Anolis sagrei: one gene and its partner. The protein of the gene in region 2 interacts with the protein of the main gene of each other region in a biochemical or structural test. Links are inferred from orthologs where the notes say so. Each region holds a gene or a part of one and is shown on either strand. Other genes may lie near its edges.

The links. The genes of interacting proteins can lie anywhere in the genome.
Region 1: the proteins of AP2B1 (region 2) and CLINT1 form a complex in vitro, tested with the Homo sapiens proteins (2 studies listed by BioGRID and IntAct, with this or other methods). The link is inferred for Anolis sagrei from reciprocal best matches to the Homo sapiens genes AP2B1 and CLINT1.

What each region holds. Positions count from the first base shown.
Region 1 is NC_090022.1:80,156,738-80,164,384, reverse strand, and holds the start of CLINT1 (clathrin interactor 1), read right to left. Parts: upstream 4,820-7,647; 5' UTR 4,630-4,819; coding exon 4,589-4,629; intron 1-4,588. UniProt on the Homo sapiens protein: Binds to membranes enriched in phosphatidylinositol 4,5-bisphosphate (PtdIns(4,5)P2). May have a role in transport via clathrin-coated vesicles from the trans-Golgi network to endosomes. Stimulates clathrin assembly.
Region 2 is NC_090031.1:28,421,521-28,429,167, reverse strand, and holds the start of AP2B1 (AP-2 complex subunit beta), read right to left. Parts: upstream 4,010-7,647; 5' UTR 3,894-4,009; intron 3,833-3,893; exon of another isoform or gene 3,782-3,832; intron 2,062-3,781; 5' UTR 2,044-2,061; coding exon 2,007-2,043; intron 1,820-2,006; coding exon 1,714-1,819; intron 980-1,713; coding exon 844-979; intron 1-843. UniProt on the Homo sapiens protein: Component of the adaptor protein complex 2 (AP-2). Adaptor protein complexes function in protein transport via transport vesicles in different membrane traffic pathways.

The DNA.
Region 1 (7,647 bases), on a different chromosome or scaffold from region 2:
TTAAACTGACATTTTATTGGTATAAATAATTTTAATGTTTTTTAATTTTAGGTCTCTGTCTCTTATTGTAAGTGTTTTAACCGTCTTATGTTTTTATCTATGTAGTTTAAATATGTTGTACCCCGCCTTGAGGAGAAGAAGGTAAAAAATAAAACTTATTATTGTTATTACTACTACTACTACTACTACTACTACTACTCAGCAGTCTTCTCCTACCAAGTTAACAGTTTCATTGGGAGCCCCCGGTGGTGCAATGGGTTCAACCCCTGTGCCGGCAGGGCTGAAGACTGACAGGTCGCAGGTTCGAATCCTGGGAGAGCGCAGATGAGATCCGTCTGTCAGCTCCGGCTCTCTATGTGGGGACATGAAAGAAGCCTCCCACAAGGATGTTAAACCATCAAAAACATCTGGGTGTCCCTTGGGCAACGTCCTCGCAGACGGCCAATTCTCTGACACCAGAAGCAACTTGCAGTTTCTCAAGTTGCTCCTGATATGACAACCCCCCCCCCCCCCCCCCCCGTTTCATTAGCCAGGAAGGTTTTGTTATGTATGTGAACAAGTGGATACTAAACAGGTTTGAAAACAAAGAATACTGATAATCTTGGAGAACCAAAACAAATTTTGGGTTCACAATACACTGTCTAGATAGAACATCTAATTACTTGTAGAACTAGCTTAGCTCAAGTTGCCAGCCTAGTGATGTTTTTTCTGCACACAAAACACCTTAAAAAACCTATTTTCCAATAATGTTGAATTAGCTGAACAAATGCAGCATATCTCAATTAATTTGTAATCAATTGGTTTATTTGGGGGTTTGGGTGGGTCTGTCAATGTATTTGTATTTGTAATTTTTATTGTATAGGCATTGAATGTTTGCCTTCTGTTGCTGCAATCTGCCCCGAGTCCCCTCAGGAAGATTGGGTGGGATATAAATAAAGCTATTTCTTTTATTTATTTATCCAGTCTCACAGTAGACAGATACATTTATGTTATCAGTCTAGTAATGTACAACATCAAGTACAATGCCAAATGCTTAGTGGTCTCAATGTCAAAGTCAATCTAAAAATAAGCCAGGCTTCAAAGCCAAGACTGATGTATGTAGTTTTATACATTAAGAACACAATTCACTTTTAAAATAAACACTAAATTTGTCTAGTATTAATACTGCATAAAGTATTTCTACAGGTTGAAATGTTTTGAATTTTTCTTTTTTATTTTAGAATATTTATTTAAATTTGCATGCACAGAATCATACAGTTAGAAGAGGCCACAATAGACATCCAGTCCAACCCCATTCTGTCATGCAGGAATGAGATGCCTTGGAGCTAAAATCCAAGTGTTAATATGAAACTCATGGACTCTGCTTTCTAACCACAAATCCAGTCACATGTCTTCTACAAACCTTCTTATGAAGCACTGGCACAAATTTTGATTTTGATTTTAGTGTTTTGAAGAAAGCTTTCTCAATGTGATTTAATTTTTCTGAGTGCACCTTCATTTACGAAATATATGAACCTATGAGCCGCCGCAAACTAGCCTCCTGCAGGAGCAAACCTTGCCAGCACGTCCCTGACGTCATGAGACTGCACCTCTCTCCCTGCCCCTTTCTCCGTGCCAGAGTGGTTTTTCCTTTGCTAGGGCAGCATTGCCAGCGTACTCTCGTTGTTGAATTCTGCCAACAACGAGAGTATGCTGGCAATGCTGCCCTAGCAAAGGAAAAACCACTCTGGCACGGAGAAAGAGGCTGAGAATGGGGTGGGGCGATAGGCGGAGTCTCATGACGTCAGGGACGTGCTGGCAAGGTTTGCTCCCGCAGGAGGCTAGTTTGCGACGGGTCTATGATTACACATCTTTACCTCATATTACCATTTGTATTAAACCAAACTGAGAATTCTGTCAATAATATTTTTCCACAAGTAACTAGAAAACAAGATTATACTCTGCAATGCCTGTCCACCAGAATAATAGACACTACTTGCATAAAAGATTTGTCCCTCTCCTCTGCTACCCTCATGGACCCAACTTCATAGAGTCACTGAGAACTCCCATAATGCCACTTTCAATGCAACCTATATATATGCTTTGTTTATTGTTTCTCACATTCCACCTCTCAAGGGCACCTAATAGAAATGTTTGGTTTCTATATTTCATGTTCTAGTACAACAATGGTTTTGAACTGTTTTCAGTGTGGAGTACATAAAACCCTCAATCACAGAGGTATTTCAAGACATCAAAACACAATATTGCCTCTTAAACTTTGATATTCACAATGAATACTTTAACCACTAAAGGCATCAACATACAACAGTAAATGCTTTACAATTGTTCTCCAAACATTTGTCTTTTTAAAACTTAAGAGTTCCGCTTTCAAAGTAAAATATAAATAGGTTTATTCAGGAGGAAAACAGCACACTTATTCACAGAGGTTTAAATGTCAAGTTTGCTTATTCTATTGAAGCTTCAGCTGGATTCCATGAGACACAGCGGAAGGTGATGAAAGTTAAAAAGAAATTTTGAGAACACAGTTAATGTTTTCCAGAAAAACACTGCCATGAAAGTGTTCTGGGAAGCAGTTCAGGGTTATGCAAGATCTTTAGTTTCAGGTAAAGGGTGTATGCGTAAAGACTTCCTTCTACTCCTTGCCCACAAGCAAGGGTGGTACAAGACTGTGCTTTTTGCCCAACCCACATTTCTGACTGGAAAATCCTACCATTAAGGTAGCAACAATGACGGTGCTACAAACAGAAAGGTTAATCCACAAGAATTAAATCCGCTCAAAGTGTATCTGTTACAGACAGGTACTGCACCTCCTCCACTGGATGATATCAAGTTTTTGTACTTCCTGTATTAAGTTACCTTTCCTCAACCAGAGGCTTAACAGAACAGCAGCAATGAAAAGGGAGTGTTGGATATACAAGCACAAGGCCAGGGTTGAATTTCTCAGTGTCTCAAGGATTTCTAGCCATAATATACAAGAAAACCATCCAACATGCCAAGAGACAGCCAAAGATTGTCTGAAACCAAAAAAACACCACCAAGAGATTCAGGAAGTTGTGCACTTCCAAAAAGCATTGCGTATAGGTATAGCCACAAAATTACACACATTCAAAGCCAGGGTTTTTGAAGTATCTACTATTGCTTTTTCAAATGAGAATAGTGACTAGCAAGATCTGCAATAGAATTCAAAGACAGTCTGGAATATTGGTATGAAAAGTGATCTTGTGACATCTTACAGACTGACAAAATATAGAAGTTGGTAGCATAAGCTGTCTTAGTTTGGCCTGAAGAAGTAGACTTGTCTTCTGTTACCATGGGCACACCTACACTGTAGAATGAATGCAGTTTGACACCACTTTAAACTGCCACGACTCAATGCTATGGAATCCTGGGAGTTGTGGTTGTGGCACCACTGCTCTTTAGCAAAGAAGTCTAAAGAGTTTGTAAAATGACAACTCTGATAATTTCACAGCATTGAGCTGTGTAAGTTCAAGGGATGTCAAACTACATTAATTGTACAGCATAGATACATCCCAACTTTGTTCTCTCATTTCAGGCTCTAAAGGGCCCTTCCAGACAGGCCCTATATCCCAGGATCTGATTGCTTTGTTTGTTTGTTTGTTTTGCATTAAACTGGCATCTGCATTGCCATATAATCTGGGATAAACAGAAAACCTGGGATCAGATCCTGGGATATAGGGCCTGTCTGGAAGAGTCCTAAGATCTTTATTGGTTGTGTAAAAAAGAGGGAGGTACTGAGGGGGAAATACAAAGATCAGCCTTAGAAAGCCCTTAGGAAAAAAACGGAGGCCCTAATTTATAAACTTCAACTGCATCAGAATCCAAGGGCCTAGAACCCTAACAGATGCAGTGACTAAGGGCCCTTCCACACAGCCCTATATCAAGGCAGGAAGTCCCACAATACCTGCTTTGAGCTGGGTTATCTGAGTCCACACTGCCTTATATCCCAGTTCAAAGCAGATAATGTGGGATTTTATTTAGTTGTGTGAAAGGGACCCAAGAGAGCATAGGAAACATGGGGAGTTCAGGGACACCAAAATAGTGTGATATATTTGAATGATCATGGGTGCCTCTACACTGAAGAATTAATGCAATTTGACACCACTAACAGCTCAATGCTATGGAATCCTGGGAGTTGACGTTTACACGGCCTTTGGCCTTTTTGTGCCTCACAAGACCACAACTCCCAGGATGCAATGTCACTGAGCCAAGGCAGCAGAAGTGGTGTCAAACTGCATCAATTTGACAGCGTAGACCCGGCCTTGATCAAAAACTAGACAGCGATCCGTTACAGCAGGCAGGTTGAAGTGTAGGAAGTTTCAGCAAGGTCTACCAACAGCGGAAGGAGTTAAGCCCTAGGGTTGGCTTGGGAGCCATGGTTGCAAGTCCTCACCCCTCACCCTTGCCTCCATCCAGAGGGAGGAAAAAAGGAGGAAGGCGACCCCACCGCCTTGGGGTGAAGATGGAGAAGGGAAGAAAGGGGCGACTGAGGCGGCAAAGGGGCTGCGGGGGAGGCTGTGGGAAGAGTTGCCCCCCTCCCCCCCCTCCACGAGCACCCCATAATACTCACGCCTTGTCCACCAGCTCCCGGACCTTCCACATGTTGAGCATCGTGTCCACGGCGGCGCCGAAAGCGTCCCTTCCGCCTAGGCCCACTGCGCCTCCCGTCCGGCCGCCGCCGCCGCCTCAGTTTCGCCAACGGTGGACGGAGAGCGAGGGAACCGTTCTTCTTCCGGAAGCCGGCCGCTCGTGGCCGCAAAGGCCGCTGGGGCTTGAAGTCCGTCGGGCGTCCAATCAAGGCGCCTGTCTCGGTGTTCCACCGTAGAGAAAGGGCTGCACGGCGCAAGGCGTGCCGGGTAACGTAGTCCGCCCGGGCTCTGTCTCCGTGGCAAAGGCCCGCCCCGCCCCGAAACTTTCCCGCAAAGCATGCTGGGGGTTTCATGTTTAAATAAGCGTCGCTTGTTGGAAGTTCCATTTACTGGGCGGGGAGGCTGTGAGGGCGGAAGGGCTTCGGAGCTCTGCTTGCCTCCGATTGAGGACAGGAAGCCGCTCCCCCCCCTCTCTCTGGAAAGTGGTTTGGCCTCATTGGCCTGCAGGCAAAGGAAAGGGAGCCTTGGCTGTGGGGGGAGCCTTGGCGCAAGGAGAGCTGGAATACGTTGCGACCAGGCCTAAATACTTGTGGATACGGAACATACAGTAGACTACTGTATTTATATACAGTAGAGCAGGGGTCCTCAAACTGTTTAAACAGAGGGCCAGGTCACAGTTCCTCAAACTGTTGGAGGGCCGGATTATAATTTGGAGAAAAAAATGAATGAATCCCTATGCACCCTGGACATATCTTATTTGTAGTGCCAAAAAACACCTTAAAACAATTCAATAATTAAAATGAAGAACAATTTTGGGTTGTTGTAGGTTTTTTCGGGCTATATGGCCATGTTCTAGAGGCATTCTCTCCTGACATTTCGCCTGCATCTATGGCAAGCATCCTCAGAGGTAGTGAGGTCTGTTGGACGTAGGAAAATGGGTTTATATACCTGTGGAATGACCAGGGTGGGACAAAGGACTCTCACCTCTCAACAAAAGATTCCCCCCAGGCACTTCCAAGCCATTAAATGCTAATCAAGGTGGTCAGTTGAAACATTCACACCTAGCTCCAGCAGACAAAAATCCTTTGTAAGCTTTTCCTTAATCCTTCCTTATTATCCAACATTTTTGTTTATCCAACGTTCTGCCAGCCTGTTTACATTGGATAAATGGGACTCTACTGTATATACATGTGCACATATAAATACACACACATATGCTTACAAAATAACACATCTATGTGGAGCTTGTTTCCCAAAGGAATAATTTTTTTAAAAAAAAACATGCCGAGGAGATATTCTTTTTTGCTATAAAAGGCAAATTTTATACATTTCCAGCAGTTTTGATCTGTACATTATATTTTACTCCTAGCCAACAATGTCCTGACGCATATTACTCGGATTTTCAAAATTGTACTTGATACCTTTTGAACATAAATGCCACAAATACATATTTATTTATGACATTTATATGCTGCTTTTCTCACCCCGAAGGGGACTCAGAGCGGCTTACAAGATGTATATATACATACAATATATTATATTATTAGCATAGCGCAATAGCAGTATGATATATTATTATATTGTACTATATAATTATATTGTAATATTATTAGTAATATTACATGTAATATAAAATATATAATTATAATACTGTATTATTAGTATTACGAGGGTTGGAACTTTAATAAGATGCCATGCAACAAAACCAAAGAATGTCACATATACCACACGTTAGTTACATACCAACCTTACCTCTGAGCAAAAAGACTCACCCTTCCTATGTCACGCACATGCAGAGTGACACGAAGAACTGAGCCTCGTATTAGCTTGTGGTCTAAAGTAAGTGTTGTCACTTACTTTTGAAGGAAGGTCTGGGCATGAAAATTGCTTCCCGATGGGTTCCATATCATTTGATAGAAATGCAGAAATGGCTACGATACGATGCTTCTCATACCCACTTGAAGCACTATGAGTGCAAAGGAGAGGCTCTTTTGCCATATCATTACGCTGGATAAGACTTGGGCCAGATTGTACCAGCCAGAACTGAAACGCCAATCGAACGAATGGTGTCATTACGGGTCACCACAAAGTTTGAAATTTTGTCAGAACCCCAGCAATGTGAAAGTTATGGAGATTCTCATGTACCACTGTGATGGTGTCATCCCAACACATACCATTCCCCCACATCAGATCATCAATGCGTAGAATTACTGCTCATTTTTGGAACACCATCTCAGACCAGCTTTGAAAAAAAAGGGGTGACACTTTCTCCAGAACGCCCCTACCATTTTGCATGACAGTGCTTGGCCACATGCAGCACAAGCTGTGGCTGATTTGCTTGATCAATGGGGCTGGGAAGTTCTGTACCATCCACCATACTCCCCAGACTTAAGCCCTTATGGCTTTGACTTAATTCCTAAGATGAAGGAACCATTTCATGGCATTCACTTCAGAACTGATCAGAAATTCTTGTGGCAGTAGACCACTCCATTCGAACTATCAACAGAACAGGCGCTGCAACAGGTGTCCTACGACTTCCACATCGTTGGAAACGGATTGTACACAATGCTGGTAACTGTACTGCAGGACTGTAAAGCTTGTTGACATGTATCACTTTGTATTAAATGTAAACAAATAGTTGCCACTATTAAAGTTCCAACCCTCGTATACTGTATTACATTATAATATAAATATTATATGTCTATACAATATATTATATTATTAGTATAGTGGGTTAATTGACTACTTCTAACAATGGGAAGGTAGAAGACACAATGGCATTTCTACAGCATTGTGCAATAGGAACCATCACCTTTGGTTTGCCTCTGTCATGTGATAAACTCCACAGTATAGATTTGGGAAACTAAGGGTGCATCTACACTGTAGAAGTAATGCAGTTTGACACCACTTTCACTGCCAAGACTCAATGCTATGCAATCATGGAAGTTGTAGTTTAACGAGACACCAGAACACTTATAAAACTACAACTCCCATGATTCCATGACATTGAGCCACAGCAGTTAAAGTGTCAAACTATTCT
Region 2 (7,647 bases):
TAAAGATGATAATTTCACAATTACTAAGAGGTTCACCATATGACGCAAATGTCATGCATGTTGTGGCTGAGCTGTTTTCTGATGATGAGGATGATGGGATTCAGATTCCTACTGGGATTCAGCTTCCTGGCTCTGTGTCTGTGCCTCACATCTCTGGGCCTGCTTCTGAGGCTCCCACCGACAGTGCAGTGTCAACACAGCCGTTCCCAGCAGAAAGGAATTTTAACGAAGGAGATAGCAAGCAGGTGCCTTCCCACACTGATACCGAAAGTGTAGATAGTGACTTGACCCGGCAAGCTTGTCTTGATCTGAGGGTCAGGCAGAGTTCTCGTCTGGCCGGCAGACGAGAAGCCAGCTCGGTGAAAGGTCATCGCAATGCTTTTATGATGATGAGAGCCTAATGTTTTCATGTTAGAAAGGTATTTAGGCTTCTTGCAAACCCTGAGAAAGCGTCAGTTCAACGTAGCCTACTAGCCTGAAAGCTTCATGGAATAACCTTAGCCTGGAAAGCAGTACGCTTGGGATTTCTTGCATTGTGATTCTTGCGGCAATTGTTTTATTGCTTGTACCTGGGACTCTGGTTTGAACTTTGCCAATAGGATTGTGTCTCCTGCTTTTACCTGAAGATTTTTGGAACTATATTCTGCGTTTAACCTTAATCTTTGGAACTTTGCAATGCTTGTTCTTTATTTTGACTTGGATTTTTTCCTCAATAAACTACAAAACTACAGCTCTTGTGTGGTGGTGTTTGGAAGCAAGGTGAAGCTTACTCTGAGTTGCAACAATGCACCTCCTAATTCATAGGTTAATAATACAGGCATGATGATGTTTTAGGGGCCGGACCTTGACGAAGCTGTTGACAGCCATGATGGCCATGTCTGGCTGGCTCTTGGCGTAGTTCATCAGGTACAGGTAGACCAGCTTCTTCAGCTCCAGGTTGTCTGTCTGCATGCAGTTGACCACATCTGGAAAGAGGGAGCTGGGGAAAGATAGAATGAATGAAAGATAGAGAGATGCAGGGAAGGAAGAAAAGCGCCTGCCTCCACAAACAGCTATATCTCCCACCACTCAGGTGACACCAAAGGCCCTCCCTCCCTCCAATGACATTGCAGGTTATAGTGAGTGCTGTAAACATGTCCAGGAGCCCTGCCAATGTCTCCCACCAACACCATCTTGCCCACCACCCAAGGGAAGGTTTTCATTCGGGGACAATTCCATCCTAGATTTGATTTATTTCCTCCACCACAGACATCGCAGTGTTTCTTACTCTCTCCGTTGGTGTGGAATTTGCATGACCCCGCCCACTGCCTCTCCCTTAACCCTTCCCTATTCTTTTCTATGGCACACAGCAAACACAGGAATTGATCATAATAATGAACATACAAGAGATGTTTGGGGAGAATTCAACATGATTTATAGGAGTCAGAGAGCACACTGAACCACAGTGATGATGTAGCCAGAGCAAATTTGCCCAACATAACAAACTTGAAGCACTGATGGGAGTTTCTCAGGTTTAAATTGGCATGATGGGAGTTGTAGTTCACCCACAACCACATGCATTTCGTACCATTAAAAAAATTGACTTGTTCAAATAACCTGGGCAACACCAGGCACCCAAGCTAGTAATGTAATAATAATTTTTATTCAGATAAGGTTTGATGATGGTATTATTATTATTATTATTATTATTATTATGTTACAATAATTCCGTACCTGACGTCCTTGCCCACGGTCATGGCCGCAATGACCTTCTTGACAGCTTCCTTCCGCTTCTCCTTCTTTTCATTGTTGAGTTCTGCTTTCAGCTCAAAGATCTCCCCTTGGAAGGAGGGAAAGGAAATACAGTCCAGTCAGAAATGCCATTATACTATTATTATATGAAATAATAGCATCATAATATTATAGTAATATTATATTACATTATAATATATTATATTACATTATAATATATTATATAATTACATTAAATAATGGTATAATATTATATTCCTCTATACCCATCTCACCTTTTTTATTGGTGGTGAAGTACTTGGAATCCGTCATGGCTTCGGCTTCCTAAGACTATCATGAAGGAAAGGAAAAGATGATATCAGGTCAATTCACCTGTCAATTCACCTGGGTTTTTCTTAGGCTTAATTGACACAGCCATATAATCCAAGTGATCCACTTTGGATAATACAGCAGTGTAGACTCCAAATATATAATCCAATTCAAGGGTTAGCATCCAAGATCTGATGGAGACTTAGGCCTTTAGCAAAGTGACAGCTGCTTTTGCTTTCCTGGGTTAAGAGTTTAAGTTCATCTCATTCATTCCCCATCTTGTGAGCTTCAAATTGCTTAGGGATTTAGGGAATATAATGGGGTTTTCTTGGGCCAGGAATGTTTTTGCCAGCTCCTTCCTCTGAAATACAGGACACTCTTCTCCAAATATTGTAATAATAATAACAACAACAATAATATAAAGATTAATAATAATAATTAAATTTTCACCCACACCCCGTATTCGAACTGCCAAACTTTCAGTCAGCAAGTTCGGCAGCTCAGTATTAATAAATAATAATAATAATAAAAATATAATCATAAATATTATTAAATTATAATAATAAAAAGTATATAATAATAAATATTAATACTTCCTTTCCCTTCTTTTTTTTTCTTTGTGGCTCGTTCTTTCTTTCTTTTCTTCCATTTCCTGCCTATTAATTAAAAGCCCTATTCTTCCCCTCATTCCTTTTCTCTTTCCTTCCTTCCCTCCTCTCCTTCTTTTTTCTCTTCTTTTCTTACTTCCTATTACTATTATAATGGATGTTATCAATGACATAATTTTATTATAATTTATTATAATAATAATGAAAGCAAGGGAGAGAAGGGGGGGAGTTTTCCCCTTTCCTTCCTTCCACCCTCTCCTTTTTTCTCTTCCTTCCTTTTCTTACTTCCTATGACTATTATATTATAATGGATGCTATCAATGATATAATTTTATTATAATTTATGATTTATTTGTTGTGTCAGAGCAGCCAGTCCATTATATTACATTTCTAACAGGACAAAGCAAACAAACAGAAAAATGCACAACTTGTGAGTTTGGTAGTTGATTAAATGTCCTTTGACCAGTATCTGGCCCCTTGGAGTGCCTCTGGTGTTGCTGCAAGAAGGTCCTCCATTGTGCATGTAGCAGGGCTCAGGTTGCATTGCAGCAGGTGGTCTGTGGTTTGCTCCTCTCCACACTCGCATGTCAAGGATTCCACTTTGTAGCCCCATTTCTTGAGGTTGGCTCTGCATCTCGTGGTGCCAGAGCGCAGTCTGTTCAGCGCCTTCCAAGTCGCCCAGTCCTCTGTGTGCCCAGGAGGGAGTCTCTCATTTGGTATCAGCCATTGGTTGAGGTGCTGGATTTGAGCCTGCCACTTTTGGACTCTTGCTTGCTGAGGTGTTCCAGCGAGTTTCAGGACCAACCATGACAATAATTTATGATAATTAATATAATGAAAGCAAAGGAGAGAAGGGGGGGGAGTTTTCCCCTTTCCTTCCTTCCCTCCTCTCCTTTTTTCTCTTCATTCCTTTTCTTACTTCCTATTACTATTATATTATAATGGATGTTATCAATGATATAATTTTATTATAATTTATGATAATTAATTATAATAATAATGAAAGCAAGGGAGAGAAGGGGGGGGGCTCAGTCTTCCTTCCTTCCCAATTGGCCCCAACTCATTAACCTCACTAATTAGGGGACTAATCAATAGGGGTAGAAAGGGAGGCCTTGTCATCAGAGTAGTCCTACCTTGCAGGGAGGGAAGGAGGCAAGATCAATGGCTCCCTTCCCTCTTCCCCCTCCCTCCCTCCCACAGTGGGCGTGGCCTGGAAGCCCAGAGGCCACGCCCCTTTAATCTCACCTAAAGAGGAAGAAGGAGAAGGAAGAGAAGCAGCAGAAGCCTTCTTTAATGAAGAGAAGAAGAAGCCAGGGTGGGGTCAAGGATTGGGAGGACCGGAAGCCGGGCCCATAGAGCCGCCCCCGCCTAGAAGCGCCCAAGAAGGCCCACTTCCGGTGGGGAGGCCATACCCACCAGAAGTGAGGAAGGAAACTCACTTCCCTTTCTTTCCACTCTTCTTCTGTATCCCTCCCTTTCCTTTGGAGTCCTAGAGCGGCTTAGGTGTGGGACATGAGGCGTGTGGAGTCCTAGATCGGCCACTTCCGGTGAGGCCTAGCCGAGGCTTTGAGGCGGGAGCCACTTCCGGTGAGGCCTAGCAATGGTCCTGCAAGAGGGAAAACAAAGGTGAGGAAGTGGATATGGAAATATGCAAGTAGGGGAAAGTTACTTTTTTCTCTCATGCAACAAAAAGGAACTTCTTCTCCCTCCCTTCTTCTTCTTCCTCCTTCTTCTCTATGGCTGCGGAAGGGAGGAAGGGGATTGGCTGTTGCTAGGCGACCATTGCAAGAGAGAGGAAGAAAGGAAGGTATGTGGAAAAAAGGAAGGAAAAGGAAGGGGAAAAGGGAAAGGTCTATGAAGGAAAGGGAAGGAGGAAAGAAAGGAAAAAGGAGGGAAGGAAGAGAGTGGAAGAAAGAGAAAGGAAAGAAATAAGAGAGGGAGAAAGGTTTATGAAGGAAAGAAAGAGCCACAAAGAAAAAGAAGTAGGAAGGAAAGAAAGAAAGAGGAAGGAGTGTGAAGGGGAGGAAGGGGAGAAGGAAGGAAGAGGGGGAAAGGAAGAGAAAGAAGAAGGAGAAAGAAAAGAAGGAAAAAAGAGAAGGAAAAGGATTAGGAGGGAAATGAAAGAAGGAAAGAAAGAGCCACAATGAAAAAGAAGAAGGCAGGAAAGAAAGAGATGGAAAAGGAGGTCAGGAAAGGAGGGAACACGCTAAAGAAAGGGAAAGGGGTATGAAAGAAGGGAAGAAAGGAAGATGTAAGAAGGGAACGAAGGAAGAGAGGGGAAGAGAAAGGAAAGAAAGAAGGAAAGGTTTATGAATAAAAGGGGAAAAGGAAAAAGACACAAAGAATAAAGAAGAGAAAGGGAGGAAGGAAAACATAGGGATGGAAAGAAAGAATGAAAGAAAAAGATGGGGAAAGGGGAAAGGGAAGAGAAAAGAAAAGAAAGAAAGAAGAGAGGGAAAAGGTTTATGGAAGAAATGGACAGAGAGAAAGGAAAGAAGGAGCCACAAAGAAATAGAAGGAGAAAGGAAAGAAAGCGTGAATGAATGAAAGAAAAAGGAAATGAAAGAAGGGATAAAGGAATGAAATAAAAAGCTGGGAAAGGAGGGAAGGAAAGAAAGAAAAAGATGGAGAAGGAATGAACGATCAAGGAAAGAAAGAGAAAGAGAAGGAAAAGAGAGAAGGCAGGAAGGAAGAGAAAGAAAAAAGAGAGGGAAAGGCTTATGAGGAAAATGGAAGAAAGAAAGAGCCACAAAGAAAAAAAGAAAAGGAAGGAAGGAAGAGAAAAAGGAGAGGGGGAAGGAAGGAAAGGGGAAAAGATATGAGGGAAAGAAGGGAAGAAAAAGGGGAAGGGAGGGAAGAGAAAAGAAAGAAGAGAGGGAAAATGAGGGAAATGAAAGAAGAAAAGAAAGAGCTACAAAGAAAAAGAAGAAGGCAGGAAAGAAAGAATGAAAGAAAAAGAGAAGGAATGAAAGAAGGAAAGAAAGAGCCACAAAGAAAAAAAGGAAGGAAGGAAGGAAGGAAAGAAAAAGATAGAAAAGCAAAAGAAGAGAAAAAGAAGGAAGGAAAAGGAGGGAGGGAAAGAAAAGGATGGACAGATAGATAGGAAGAAGGACCAACCCCCTTCTACCATAAGGAAGGATAGAATTATTATTGTATTATGGTCTATTGTTGTTGTTGTGTCTCTTTTTCAGAGTATTTTAGTCACTCTGCTCCGGGCGCTGCATGCCGTTCCTCCTCTCGGCGCTCCTTCTACGGACAACCAGGGCCTTCAACCAGAGCCAGAGGCTGATCTTTCTCCCGAGGCGGCCGCCTCAACCTGGGATCGCTTTCCCCCCATTGCTATTTACACAGCCTTTGCGGAGATTGGCTCTCCTTCCTTCCCAGATGGCGGAGCAGCGCTACTGCGTGGACTACGCCAAGCGGGGCACGGCCGGCTGCAAGAAGTGCAAGGAGAAGCTGCTGAAGGGCACGGTGCGCATCGGGAAGGTGGTGCCCAACCCCTTCTCCGAGTCCGGCGGGGACATGAAGGAGTGGTACCACGTCAAGTGCGCCTTCGAGAAGCTGGAGCGCGCCCGAGCCACCACCAAGCGGATTGAGGACCTCACCGACCTGGAGGGATGGGAGGAGCTGCAGGAGCCCGAGAAGGAGATGATCAACCAACACATCGCGGGTGAGGGATCTCAGCACATCGAGGGAGGGAGGGACAGAAAAGGAACAGAGGGCCACAGGGATGGAAAGGAGGACCCACAGGGACAGTCAGCTGGACTCATAAGACAGAGAGAGGGAATGGTATGTACTTAGGTAGAATTGTGGATGGATGGATGGAATGCTAGACTTGGAAGGGACTCCAAGGGTCATCCAGTCTCATCCCTAAGAGAGAGAGAGATACATGGATGGATACATACATACATATCTCCAAGGGTCATCCAGTCCAACACCTAAGAGAGAGAGAGAGAGAGAAGGAGAATCCTAGTCCTGAAAGGCACTCCAAAGGTCATCCAGTCCAACCCCTAAGAGATAAATAGATACATGGATAGATGCATAGATGGAATGCTAGACTTGGAAGGGACTCCAAGGGTCATCCAGTCTCATCCCTAAGAGAGAGAGATACATGGATGGATACATACATACATACATACATACATACATACATATCTCCAAGGGTCATCCAGTCCAACCTCTAAGAGAGAGAGGGAGAGAGGAGAATCCTAGACCTGGAAGGCACTCCAAAGGTCATCCAGTCCAACCCCTAAGAGATAAATAAATACATGGATAGATATATAGATGGAATGCTAGACTTGGAAGGGATTCCAAGGGTCATCCAGTCTACCCAAGAGATAGATAGATAGATACATAGATAGATAGGTAGCTGGACTTGGAAGGGACTCTCTCCAAGAGAGAGTGATACATAGATAGATACATAGTCCAACCCCTAAGAGAGAGATACATACATATATACATACATAGGCAGGGAATGGCTTGTATTGGACTGCCATTGAGGGTTTGGGGGGAACGAGATTGATGCGACACCGGTCTCTTTTGCAGAGCTGAGCTCAAAAGCCTCCAACACCCCCAAGAAGAAGGCAGTCGTGCAGGCCAAGATCTCTCCCGGCGGACAAATCACCTCCCCAAAGAAGGCGCCGGCCGCTTCTTCCGACCCGCCCAAGAAGTTCTCCGGCTTTACAGGTGCATCATCTCCATTCAAAATCTGGTATTGCATCCCATCCATTTGGTCAGCTTGCCATCAGTTGGGAAGAAGGCCTTTGAAGGGCCCACAAGGACAACTGTTTTGATCTTAAATCTACAATTAACGTTTGTGCGGATGGGCCATCAAGTTGGTGGTTGATGTACGGCAAACCCAATAGTTTCCTTTGGAAATGGTTTTGATGGGTCTTTACTCTGAAATATTGCCTATGGGTTGGATTATATGAATAATAATAACATCATCTCCCATGGAAGTCCTAACCAGGGTTGACACATTTTAGCTTCCAAGGTCAGT